Linked DNA regions of Saccharomyces cerevisiae S288C. The protein of the gene in region 2 purifies or fractionates together with the protein of the main gene of each other region. This does not show direct contact. Each region holds a gene or a part of one and is shown on either strand. Other genes may lie near its edges.

Region 1 (5,728 bases), on a different chromosome or scaffold from region 2:
AAAGAAGTGCTGCATATTCTACAAACTCATTATCCAGAAAGACTAGGAAAAGCACTTTTGACGAATATTCCTTGGTTAGCATGGACTTTCTTGAAGTTAATTCACCCTTTTATTGACCCACTGACCCGTGAAAAGCTAGTTTTTGATGAACCATTTGTTAAATATGTCCCTAAGAACGAACTAGATTCGTTGTATGGTGGTGATCTGAAATTCAAGTACAATCATGATGTTTATTGGCCAGCTCTGGTGGAAACCGCGCGTGAAAAAAGAGATCATTATTTTAAGAGGTTTCAAAGCTTCGGTGGTATTGTAGGTTTAAGTGAGGTTGATTTAAGAGGTACTCATGAAAAACTTCTTTACCCAGTAAAATCGGAAAGCAGTACCGTGTAAAGGCAAATTTAGATAGATAATGATAATGCACTATAATATATAATAAATAAAAGAGAATAAAAAGTTTAATCACGTTCCCGCTTCTTTTTCCTAACCATCAAAGAATGCAATCTAAAGAAGAAGAAGCGAATACCCTCTTTTAAATATATACGCGTCTATATGCACTGTAGATAAGCTGTTACATATCAAAAAGGTTTGGCACATTTGCGCTTTTCTGTAGCGCCTGTAACCGGTGAAGTCATCATTTGCCAGTCTGTAGCATACATCAATCCACCAGCACCATTAGCAGCTCTGGCGAACACGACCCCAAGGTCATTCCTTGCAGTGGTCAAATAGTAGTTGGTTCCGTCACCTAATGATAAAACTTGCGCCCTAACAATATCTCCCGGCTTGAAACATTCTATCACTTTCACACGATCTCTGTCTGTAGACCGTACATCCTGAGACCTGATTATACCTCTGAATGTCTCACCTAAATCTGATGATGCTTGAGAAACAGAGAACGTAGCTGCTCCAGAACCGCCACCAGCAGCGACTATTCCCGATCCATTACTGCCGATGCCACTATCAATTGGAGATGGTTTATCTTCCACAGCTAAAATTTCGACATTGGCTCGTTGCAACGAAAGCCTTGTCACCCTGGTCAGCACAATATCACCTTCCTTCGGTAGGTTATTGGCAAAATCATTATTAGCATATTTGTTGGTTTTACGACCCTTTTCTGTCCCAGGAAGCACTGAAACCAGAATATTTTTTACAGTTCTTCTTGTGACATCATTAGGTGATGCATCTACTGATTTTTCTTCCTCTGTAGATTGATCAGTGCCTTCACGCTCTTCTTCCTGATCAGTTTTTTTTTCTTCCTCACACCTCACTGTCCCAACTAGTGTAGCAGTTATAGCTTCTAAAGTTCGTCCGTTGTGTTCATATTGAATTAGTTTAGTTCCGGGACCGGGCACATAATTGAAAATTATATCTTCGCCATCTTTATTTTCCGTACCGTACTGTGGGCATATTAGTTTACCTGGATAAGCTATTTCTGGAAACTGAAAATTGCATGCCATTATAATACACTTATAGATTGAGGTATTCAATGCTCTGGAAAAAATCAAAGAATCTTTAATATACAAATGCGTAGTTAATCATGCCGTACCATAAGCTCATCATCAGTGAATTCTGGATCTTATTTTTCTTTCTTTTTTCAATATTTTTTGGAAATTTTTACTTCACGTGACGGAGACGGGTAATGCAGACGGTATTTTGAAATGATGCCGCAAATACAACACATAACACCCAAGATTCTTGCGATAAATTATAGGTTTATAAAAACTAGAATGTCTTGATATGTATGATTTGATTCATTTCCATTTCTCCCAGTTTTCTGCTCTAATAAAAATGTGTGTAACATCGCGAATCATCGTGTACTTCCATTGCGCTCTTTAACTCATTTAATTCCAATTTGATCATTTGAGCCAGTTGTGGAGTAAGCTGGTTACAAGTGGAAATTTCTGGATGTCTATCATATTCGAATTCTCCATAAGTGTCGTAAAGTATTATCTGGGACGAAAACCGGACACCCTGGTCATTATTACTGTTTACATACACCTCACCTAGACTTGTTAAGTCTGATTTTACGGGAGAATCAGGCGTCATGGAGTCAATAAAAGAAGTATTCATTCTTGGGGCTTTTAGTCCTTTAAAGGACATTGAAACAGGTCTATTGGGTTCGAATTCTGGTAAATATGCATTATTTCTTGGAGTAACTTCTATGGGCTGTTCTATGTGTTTGTTGAAATCTTCATTCTCAAATTCGTTGTCATTTATTTCACTTCCGTCTTGTTCAAATGTATGTAATTGACCTTGACGCTCATCTCCGTATGTAGTAGCTCCAGCAGCGGAATAAGATTGAGTTTCTCTTTCTTTGTAACTATCCTCTTTGTTATTTCGTGTATCAAAAGTACCAGAGCGATTTACTTCATCATTTCCAACAGGTTCAGGGGTTTCTGTTGCATATGAGGCCGTTGTATCTCCCAAGTCTAGGTCTAGATTGAGATCATCATCACCGAAGTTAATAAAACTTGCAAACTCCATTATATCAGAAATTAACTCGTTATCATCATCTGCAAAAACGCTTTGCCTTTCAGAATCCTTCTTCAGAGGTTCTTCTCTTGGTTTTGGTACATCCCTTTCAACTTCAGTTTTTTCTTCATCAGAGGCCATCACTAGCTGGTCAAATTTTTGTTCAATAGACTCTAAAAATATGTCATCTTTTTTTAGTGGACCACTATCGTCCTTGATATCTAAAAAGTCCTCATTCGTGGTACCTTCGTAAGAGTGTTCTCTGGAGAAATTATCTGAGTATTCGAACCTTCCATTCTTTAAAATGCTGCTAGCAGGAGACTTCGTCAAGTCTGGAGTAGATAATACAACAGAAGATGCCTCAGTGATGAACATTCCCTCACTTTGCGCTTTGATCGATAGCGTATCTGTCAATGACCTTCTTTGCGAGTTCATTGAACTTCTCTTGTTAGACTTTGTAGATCTTGTTCTTTCTAAAGAAACGATCGAGTCGACTTCATGATTATCCAAAAATTTTGGGAAAAGAACCTCACCTGTATCGTGTTTGGAAAATGCTGGTGAGGGTGCTTCGTAGTCCAGTGATAAAAAATTATCCTTGGTTGGTAATTGAAGATCATTTTTGGCATCATCATCTTCTCTTACGTGTTCTTGTAGCGGGGTATTTATCTGTTTATCACCTCCCAATATGAGATCCATGTTTAAAGGAGTAGGTTTTCTCTGATCAATTGATCTCGTTACGTGATCTATTTTCACGGGAGTATCGTCGTGGTTTTTTCGTAGTAGAGGTGATTCAGTGGATAACACTGATGCGGCGTCAATTATTTGTTCAGTATCTTGCTTTTTGTCCTTGGATTTTGGGGTTCTTTTTTTTTGCCTCATTGGTTCCTTTCGAGGTGAGTCTGATGTTTCAATTTTTCCCTTTAGGAAGGAATTGAAAATGCTACTGCTACTGTGAGACTTCTTCTTTAGTTTTTCAGGCGTTTTTAAAGAGGTTTGAATATTCATTGAGAAAGTGCTCGATGAAGACATCTTATTTTTTTCATTCGTTACACTATTATTACCAATAACTGGTTTCGGTTCTTTCTTCTTCAGAAATGAAAATATACTCTTTTTCTTTTTATGCATAGAAGTGTCTTCAAGTACCGAGCCTGCTGAAGTAGTCCTTTGGGCAGAAGAATCAGTATACTTTCGCGCTTCTGCTTTGTTTAAACGAACTTTTGGGTTGTATAATTTACTCGAAGGAGGCGAGGGTTTCGGATCCTCTTTTAAAAATGGTGCGCTATGTGTTGTGCTTTCAGTTTCTGAATTAATGATAGTATTTTCCTCCCGCTTAACTGGTAAATTGTTGTCTCGTTCGAGAATAGTACGTCGTGTACTAACTTTGCTCCGAGGTCCCTGAGAATCAGGTTTTACTCTAGGAGTGGACAAAAAGTCAGGTTCTTCGAAAGACGGTAAACTCAAAGGGGCAACTTGAATACTATTGGATCCGTCAATGTCAATAAGGTTTGGAGAGGTCATCGCCAAGTTTTCATTTGCTTCCTCTCGTACAGACAGCCTGGATCCAGTTATATCCTCGTGATAATTGATCGAGTTGTTTTGCTCTTCGGCCTCTTCTTCTTCTTCTATTATGGAAGACTCAATATTTTGTGCCTTTCTAGTTTTTTGGTCAGCATATTTGGATCTTTCGTTCAGAATATCAGCCAATGCACTTAATGAGGGGGAAGTTGTCATATTTACCGTTTGTACTTCTGAGTCTCGGGCATTACTTTCTCCAAACGACCGCTGCAGAACTGAGCTTTCAACATCCCTATCAAGGACGGATTCGCATGGCTTTATTGATGAATTTAGACTTTGATCTGATATCTCCTTCAATATCAGAGAATTTCGAAAGGTTCTAGCATGATCAAGTGTATTTATCGACGTCGACGAATAAAAAGTAGAATTTAAAAGTTCTGAGGACTTTGAATCTGAAATACTATCCGACATATTCTGTTGAATACGTAGTGATATATCGTTATTAATAAAAACGCTGCTCGTACGGCTTTTGCACTCTGGTTGTTGAGATTTCTTTGTCAATTTATTTGAGTCGCTTTTCCTGTTGTTTATTTGCAAAGTCAAAACCTGTACTAATAAGCGAACTTGAGGGGGTCAACTCTAAGTGTGAGAATATTACACGTCTTGTTCTAAAGAAGATATAAAGCCAATCTGATTTCTTCGAATCTGAAATGATTTTTCATACTCGGGACGATAGAAGAGAGAAGTTGACTTGACGCGTCTCCGCTGACGCGCCTATATAAGACAAAGATTAGCTCGCGGGTAATAAAGAACAGGCAGTGATCTAAAGAATATATAATATAACCTGGGAAACTTATACACTTAATGGTACGGTTGTAGTTACATAATCGAGCAGTTCTTCTGCTGAGCAGTTTTTTGCAATAAATGGATTTTTTCATCATAATTATTTTTCTTGGTATTACTTTCCACGACGGTACTGCTACCGATGCTTGGTTTTGTACTTCCAGAGCCCTTTGGTGAGATTGGAGGCGTCGATTCACGGTCGCTTTTTATTGGAGTAGAAGAATTGTCTAAGAGTATTTCTGTAGGAATTTTATTTGTCGGTACTTGTGTTATATTATGAGGTATAGTAGCGTTTTTAGTTTTCACCATTTGTAGCTTGTTAACTGTACTTATATCATGCATCGCAAGTTTGGGAATGGAAAAATTTAAAACCACAGAGTCACCATTATACGAAAAATCTGGTTGAATCTTTTCCATTGGGTCCTTCCCTGCAGTAATCATACAATTTGCCAAATATGAGTAAAGTTGTCCCCATAGATTTTTGAGTTCCAGTGTGAGAAAAGATCCAAACCTGTCCTGCAATGTAGTCATAAATGCTTTTCCCATTACTTCGAAACCAACGGTTTTGATGCCGAGAATTCTGGAATGGCGTTTTCCTAATTTCACAATATAATCATCTAGGACATGAACGTTTTCAAGGTTGTCAATAGCAGAATCAAGGACCTTACAGAACGAAACTGCTTGATGTTTTAATGATGGAAAATATTCTTCTAACAAGGGATCCATTGCAATCAAATTGTCATAAAACTGTGAACAAAATAGTGCAGTATCAACCTTGTTATCATTGTCCCTTTGTTTTGTTTTACGTGGCCTGGCAGTAGGGTCAATAGTTTTGGAAATCATACCGTCAGGAGCAGTATTCAAATAGGGTCTTTCTGTTGAAGTAATATGTTTATTGGAA
Region 2 (7,168 bases):
AATCGATCACTCATATTATCACACAAATCATGGATGCAATTGAATATGTTCATAACAAGGGCATTTATCATCGTGATATAAAACCTGAGAACATTTTAATTTCTGGAATTGATTGGACAATTAAGCTTACAGATTGGGGATTGGCTACTACAGATAAGACGTCTATGGATAGAAATGTCGGTAGTGAAAGATATATGTCCCCTGAACTTTTTGATAGTAATTTGGATATCAAGGAAAGAAAGGAACCTTATGACTGTGCCAAAGTGGATTTATGGGCTATGGGAATTGTGTTTCTTAATATTGTTTTCCATAAGAATCCTTTTAGTATTGCCAATCAATCCGACAAGTCATTCTGTTATTTTGCTGCTAATAGAGAAGCGTTGTTTGATGTATTTTCGACAATGGCTTATGATTTCTTTCAAGTATTAAGGTATAGTTTAACCATCGATCCGGCTAATAGAGACTTGAAAATGATGAGAACTGAACTACAGAACTTATCTGAGTATACATTAGACGATGAATACTATAATAACTTGGATGAAGGATATGAAGAAACTATGATTGACGGTTTGCCACCTCAGCCTGTTCCTCCATCTTCAGCACCGGTATCATTACCTACTCCTATTTCATCTAGTAACAAACAACATATGCCTGAATTTAAAAAGGATTTCAATTTCAATAATGTGAATGAAAGGAAACGGTCAGATGTCTCTCAAAATCAAAATGTTGCAAGCGGCTTCTTTAAAAAACCGTCTACACAACAACAGAAATTTTTCAACCAGGGTTATAATACAACACTATCTACTCATGAAAGGGCTAAATCTGCTCCTAAGTTCAAATTTAAGAAGCGCAATAAGTACGGAAGAACTGATAATCAATTTTCCAAACCAGTCAATATCGAAGATAGAAAGAAAAGTAAAATTTTGAAAAAATCAAGGAAGCCTCTTGGCATACCAACGCCTAATACACACATGAATAATTTTTTCCACGATTACAAAGCAAGGGATGAATTCAACACCAGAGATTTTTTCACTCCTCCAAGTGTCCAGCACAGGTATATGGAGGGGTTTTCCAACAACAACAATAAACAGTACAGACAGAATCGTAATTACAACAATAATAACAACAACAGCAATAACAATCATGGAAGTAATTATAATAATTTTAACAATGGTAATAGCTATATAAAGGGTTGGAACAAAAACTTTAACAAATACAGAAGACCAAGTTCCTCCAGTTATACCGGTAAGTCACCACTTTCAAGGTACAACATGAGCTATAATCATAACAACAATAGTTCTATAAATGGTTATGCAAGGCGTGGTTCTACGACTACAGTTCAACATTCACCAGGCGCTTATATTCCACCAAATGCCAGGAACCATCACGTAAGCCCAACGAATCAGTTTTTAAGAGTTCCGCAATCAACTGCTCCTGATATCTCTACCGTTTTAGGTGGGAAGCCTTCATACCAGGAACACTACACTCAGGATAGTATGGATTCTGAGGGCGATCACGATTCAGACGACGTTTTATTCACTCTTGAAGAAGGTGATCATGATTTCGTCAATGGTATGGACAACTTATCTATAAATGATCACTTACCGCATACAACGGTAGGTAGCCATAATGAAGTATTTGTTCACGCAAGCACTAATCACAATAACAATGGCAACAACAACCATATCGACACCAATAGTACCACTAATCAATATCATAGACAATATATTCCACCTCCTTTGACAACATCATTGCATATCAACAATAACAATAATGAATCTAATGAACTACCAGATTTACTAAAATCACCAGCATCATCTGAAGCACATTTAAATTTATCTTCTGGACCAATTGATCCAATTTTAACAGGTAATATTGGCAATCGATATTCACACTCATCTGACTCTAAGGAGCTAGAGCAGGAGCGTAGACTCAGTATGGAACAAAAATTTAAAAATGGGGTTTATGTTCCACCTCATCATAGGAAGAGTTTCAACTTGGGAACACAGGTACCTCCTATGAATATGAAGACAAGTAACGAGGCCACGTTGTCAGTTTCGCATAATTCTGTTAATTTTGGTGGATCTTACAATTCCAGGCGTTCCAGTGCTAATGAATCTAACCCACTGCATATGAATAAAGCACTCGAGAAGTTGTCCTCTTCACCAGGAGCTAAAAGCTCCTTCGTTGGCTTCCCTAAACCTTTATTACCTCGTAATCATTCAAGCACTACGATTGCGTTGCAAAATGAAGACGTATTCGCAGACTCTAACAATGACGCCATAATTTTCGAAGACGAAGAATACGAAGGAGAAAGTGACAAGATGGCACATGGCAAAATGGAAGGTGGTGACAACGAATCCTCGTCAACCTCCCCGGATGAAAGGCAAATTTTCGGTCCTTATGAAATTTATGCTCAAACTTTCGCTGGCTCCACTCACGATAAAAAATTAGGAGCTGGCAGGAAGACAAGTATTCAGGATGAAATGGTCGGATCGTTAGAACAATACAAGAATAATTGGTTAATTTTACAGCAACAAGACTAAGCGCACCTATTCCCTCTGTTATGTTGCTTATTATTTTCTTCCCTTCTGAAATGCATTTTTAGCTTTTTTCATCAATTTGGCATCATCGTGCATTTCAACTTCTAAGTATGAATGCTTTTTGGTAGTTAAGCTTGAAGGGTTTTATGAAAACTCTCTTTTCTTAGATATTTCTACAGTCTTATATAACGTCAATTCACACAAAAGTGTTCACTGCCAACTACAAGAATAGCATATACACATATTAGTTACTTCAACGAGTTCTTATTGTTATTATAAAAGTATATAAACCCTATAAGCATTTTTGCATTTGTGCTCTCACATCACCTTTAATCATTTTTTCACTCATGTACCAGTATACGTCGACCTCTACTTCTTCCCTCCTTTCTTTTTTCCAACTTTATCCAATCTTTTACTTTTCTTACTACTTGCTTTCCTTATATGATCGGTACTGTCAATAATCTTAGTCGTTGTACTCTCTGCCAGTTCATCGTTTTCAAATTTCGTATGCTTCCCTTGAAAGTTGCTCCTGCTTATAGAGGGCTCGAATTGGTTTTTATTACCGTCCAAAACATTGGAAATGATATTCTTAGCTTTTTCTTGCTCTGCCTGCGATTTTTCGTTGGATTTGGTTATCCTATTATCGTATTGTTTAGCCTTATCCATGTATGATTTTACTCTTTTCAGTTCGCCGAGTATAGGAGACATATCTTTGACGCCTAGGACTTTCATATTAGCAAACATCAGAGAACTCAATACATACGCGTAACGATTAATTAGTTCTAATTTAGCCCTCTCATCAGATAATAGCAACAGCTGTTCATCCAGTGACTTCGACGTTAGTTTCTCTATTTCTGGTTTCAGCTCGTCTAACGCCTTTGAAAAACTCCTAACGTATGGTTTTATCTTTTCGATATCTTCCATTACTGATCTAATACTCCGTTACGTTGCTAGATATATGTTTATATTAATCGATTTCTACTGTAGGCTGTTAACCAGTTTTTTCTTCCACAGACTACAGAAGGCACAGTCCATAACCATCTGCCTTAGCTCATCGCTGAAAAACTGCACGAGAATTCGTGAAACGTGACATGTTGGGTACCCGCATGAATAGAAAATATGCTAGTAACGACTCTTCTTTACATTCCCATTGCTGGTGTATGTACGCTGATATGAAAATGCTTGCCCAATAAATACCAAGGTTATGACGTTGCCGCTTTGTATTGTCTTCTAATCTAAAAATCTTTCCACGCCAGTAGTGGCTGGCTTTATGCGGCAAAGATCGCTGTTTCTCCTTTTAGAAGTAAATTTCCACGGAGTATGACGGCCGGACGGACCGGCGTAGTTCATTCTAGTCTTAGGGGTCCTTTACCTTGGCAAAAGCATTTCTAAGTGAAACCCTTGCAGGAGTAGAATTGGGCGCAAAGGTCCCTCGTTGGGATCTGTCCTCCTGGGGGACGGTAGGTGGTTGAATGATTCTGCCTTCTTGAAATACGAAATATCAATCTGTTTCTGCTGGCTCACGGTATCTACTGTAATTTCGTTGCTATTGCCATTGATATTAAATTATTGCTACTGTGTGTGGTTCTTACTCTCCATGGATAGTGTTGAAAATATACAGTAATGACTAGAGATTCAAAAAAGAAGCACCATTGGGGCACTGCCTTTTTAAGGACAATTGGAGTCAAACGTAAGCACAAGAAGGATCGTAATTTTTTAAATAATACTACAGGAGAGAATGTTAGCACAACAGCCAGTGCTGAGCGATTCAGAAGAGTAGGAGGAAATCCGGATATTCCGTCTTTACTTAAGCCCGAAACTTTCACGGAATCTCCTGCAAAAGGATCTCAAAAGGCGGCGGCATCTTCCTTAGCGCATAGCCAAGGTGTATTCAATATTCCAATCGTTATAGATCCCATGGAAACAAACAGGCTTGAAAAGACAAACACGAATTTGACGGCAGGTTCATTGAAGGGTCGCTTTCAGGATGGTAACTCGAATTCAAATTCTGTACCAAGTTTATCCGTCCAGGCATTAGAAAAGGAAAAACTGCAAAGTGGGAAACGAGAAGGGTCCAGCAATCAAGCTGAGGAAAAAACTCCAGACGGCCATGATGAACATACCGCCTTTGAAACGTTTCTTTCCTTCGCCCATAATGCCGTAAGCCACATTCCCAAAATAAACGTACAAGACGCTGACAATGGAACAATTTCCAGGAATGAACCAAAGGACAGGAAAAAAAACTCATCTAATATATCAGGAGCCCTTTCCGAAAATAGCACTAACAATAAAAACACTTCATCGACAAAAGAAAGCGATGGCCCATTTTTGAAAAATTTAGACAATATTCTTGCAGCATCCAAATCATCAACTCCAAGTAACCAACAGCTTAATACAACGGAAGCAGGAAGTAAAAGTAAACCATCATCATTATCTAGATTGGCATTTGGAAATTTGAAAGGCCATATTCACTCGAACTCACATTCAAGCTCTAATGCTATCTCAGGAGATGATACATCATTAGATGACACTAGAAAGATGACGGATGATATGGCCAGGAAAGTGGTTTTCGAACCCATCAGGCACTCTCATGATAAGCCTACCCCCGGAGTTGGAAACTTAAAATTAGAGCACTTCGATGATTCTCAAGCTACTCTTGAAGGGTTAGAGGCAATGTCAGCAGAATCGCTGCCAGAGGCGGATCACCTTGACAGCAGAGGCCCGGTACAACAAAGTAATTTGGAAAGAAAAACTGTTCCTTCCAAATGGTCAGTAGTCAGTTCCTCTACAACAGATGGAGTCAAGCCTAGAAGAAGAGCCAAATCAATGATTAGCGCAATGGCAGATAAACAAAACACCAGTAGCGACGTTTTACAAGATTGTAAAAAAAGATTGTCCTTCAACTCCTCTAATGGCCTAACGAATAACGACCCGGAGTATGAAGACCGCGAACCTAGGGAAATGTCCAAGAAGTTTCTTAACAGGAGGTCATTTTCCCCCGGAAGCATTAGCATGGGAATGAAAGTACTACCTTCGACGGCACTGAAATATTCGCTAAACAAAGTAAAAAACAGCACTGATATTGCATCGACCATCATACCGAGACCTAGTATGTCCAACGGTCGTCCATCTTCGGGATTGAGGAGAAGTTCTAGTAAAAGCTTTTCATCTACCCCCGTAAATATCATTGAGCCATCGGAGGAAAATGGTAGACAATCCAGCATTAGAATAAAGGGAGTCGAATACGCGAGCGAAAAGAAAGATGCAGAATTCCATGCAATATTCAAGGACTCTGGTGTCAGCCCCAATGAAAGGTTGATTTTAGACCATAGTTGTGCTTTGTCAAGAGATATCCTTTTGCAAGGCAGAATGTATATTTCTGATCAACATATTGGATTTTATTCGAACATCCTTGGTTGGGTAAGTACCGTTTTTATACCGTTCAAGACAATCGTTCAAATAGAGAAAAGGGCCACAGCAGGAATATTCCCTAATGGGATCGTTATAGACACTTTACACACAAAATACACGTTTGCCTCTTTCACTTCAAGAGATGCTACATATGATTTAATTACTGAAGTATGGAATCAAATAATTTTGGGAAAGAGGTTTCGTAGCAACAGTAATAACACTAATAGCAGCTCCAATTCTATCAGTGATGATGAAAATGACGATTACGATGATGATTACGATGATTATGGAGATGATGATGACGATCTTTACGATAATAGCAATAACATATCTGATTCTACCGACATGACATCAAGCGTCAGCATAGGAAAGCCGGAAGATTTACCCATGCCTCTACAAACAGACACCCCTTATGGAACAGGAATTCCACCACTAGGTCCAAAAATTCACTCACCCACAGAAACAGTATACAAACCAGCGCCCAATGAAAAATTAGTTAACGAATCAACAATACACGCTTCGTTAGGGCGGGTTGTCAATATATTATTCGGGAAAGATGTCAGTTATATTATGGCCATTTTAAAAGCGCAAAAGAATAGTGATATTTCGCCAATCCCTGTTCTCGTTGATTCACCCACGGTTTCTGAAGGTAAAAAGAGAGATTATTCCTACGTAAAAACAACACCAGGTGCCATTGGACCCGGTAAAACTAAATGCATGATAACTGAAACCATTCAACACTTTAACTTAGAGGAGTATGTTCAAGTCTTGCAAACAACAAAAACTCCGGATGTTCCTTCTGGAAATTCATTTTATGTGAGAACAGTTTATCTTTTATCATGGGCAAACAACAATGAAACAAAACTAAAACTGTATGTCTCTGTTGAATGGACAGGTAAAAGCTTGATCAAAAGTCCTATTGAAAAGGGTACATTTGATGGTGTAACGGATGCAACAAAGATATTGGTGGAGGAGCTTGGTAATATTTTAACAAGATCTGCTACCAAAAGGAAAAGGTCTTCGAAGGAGAACACTGTTACAGTATCAACTTTACCGAAAATGGAACCTAGCTCACATGCACCTACCGAGCCTGATATTCAAAAGGATAAGGATGACTCTATTATAAGGGAAAATGAGAATATACCAGCTCCATTAGGGACCGTGGTCCAATTGCTATTTGGATCGAATACAGAGTATATGCAGAAAGTTATCAC

The links. The genes of interacting proteins can lie anywhere in the genome.
Region 1: the proteins of LRP1 (region 2) and CSL4 purify together in Saccharomyces cerevisiae (affinity purification with mass spectrometry; 5 studies listed by BioGRID). This does not show direct contact.

The regions. Positions count from the first base shown.
Region 1 is NC_001146.8:210,649-216,376, reverse strand, and holds CSL4 (exosome non-catalytic core subunit CSL4), read right to left. Parts: upstream 1,455-5,728; coding exon 576-1,454; downstream 1-575. Other genes in the region: PDR16 (phosphatidylinositol transporter), read left to right, coding at 1-390; BNI4 (Bni4p), read right to left, coding at 1,777-4,455; YNL234W (uncharacterized protein), read right to left, coding at 4,864-5,728.
Region 2 is NC_001140.6:263,837-271,004, reverse strand, and holds LRP1 (Lrp1p), read right to left. Parts: upstream 3,468-7,168; coding exon 2,913-3,467; downstream 1-2,912. Other genes in the region: putative serine/threonine protein kinase KSP1, read left to right, coding at 1-2,546; LAM4 (Lam4p), read left to right, coding at 4,167-7,168. UniProt on the Saccharomyces cerevisiae protein: Required for exosome-dependent processing of pre-rRNA and small nucleolar RNA (snRNA) precursors. Involved in processing of 35S pre-rRNA at the A0, A1 and A2 sites. Required for activity of RRP6 in 7S pre-rRNA processing.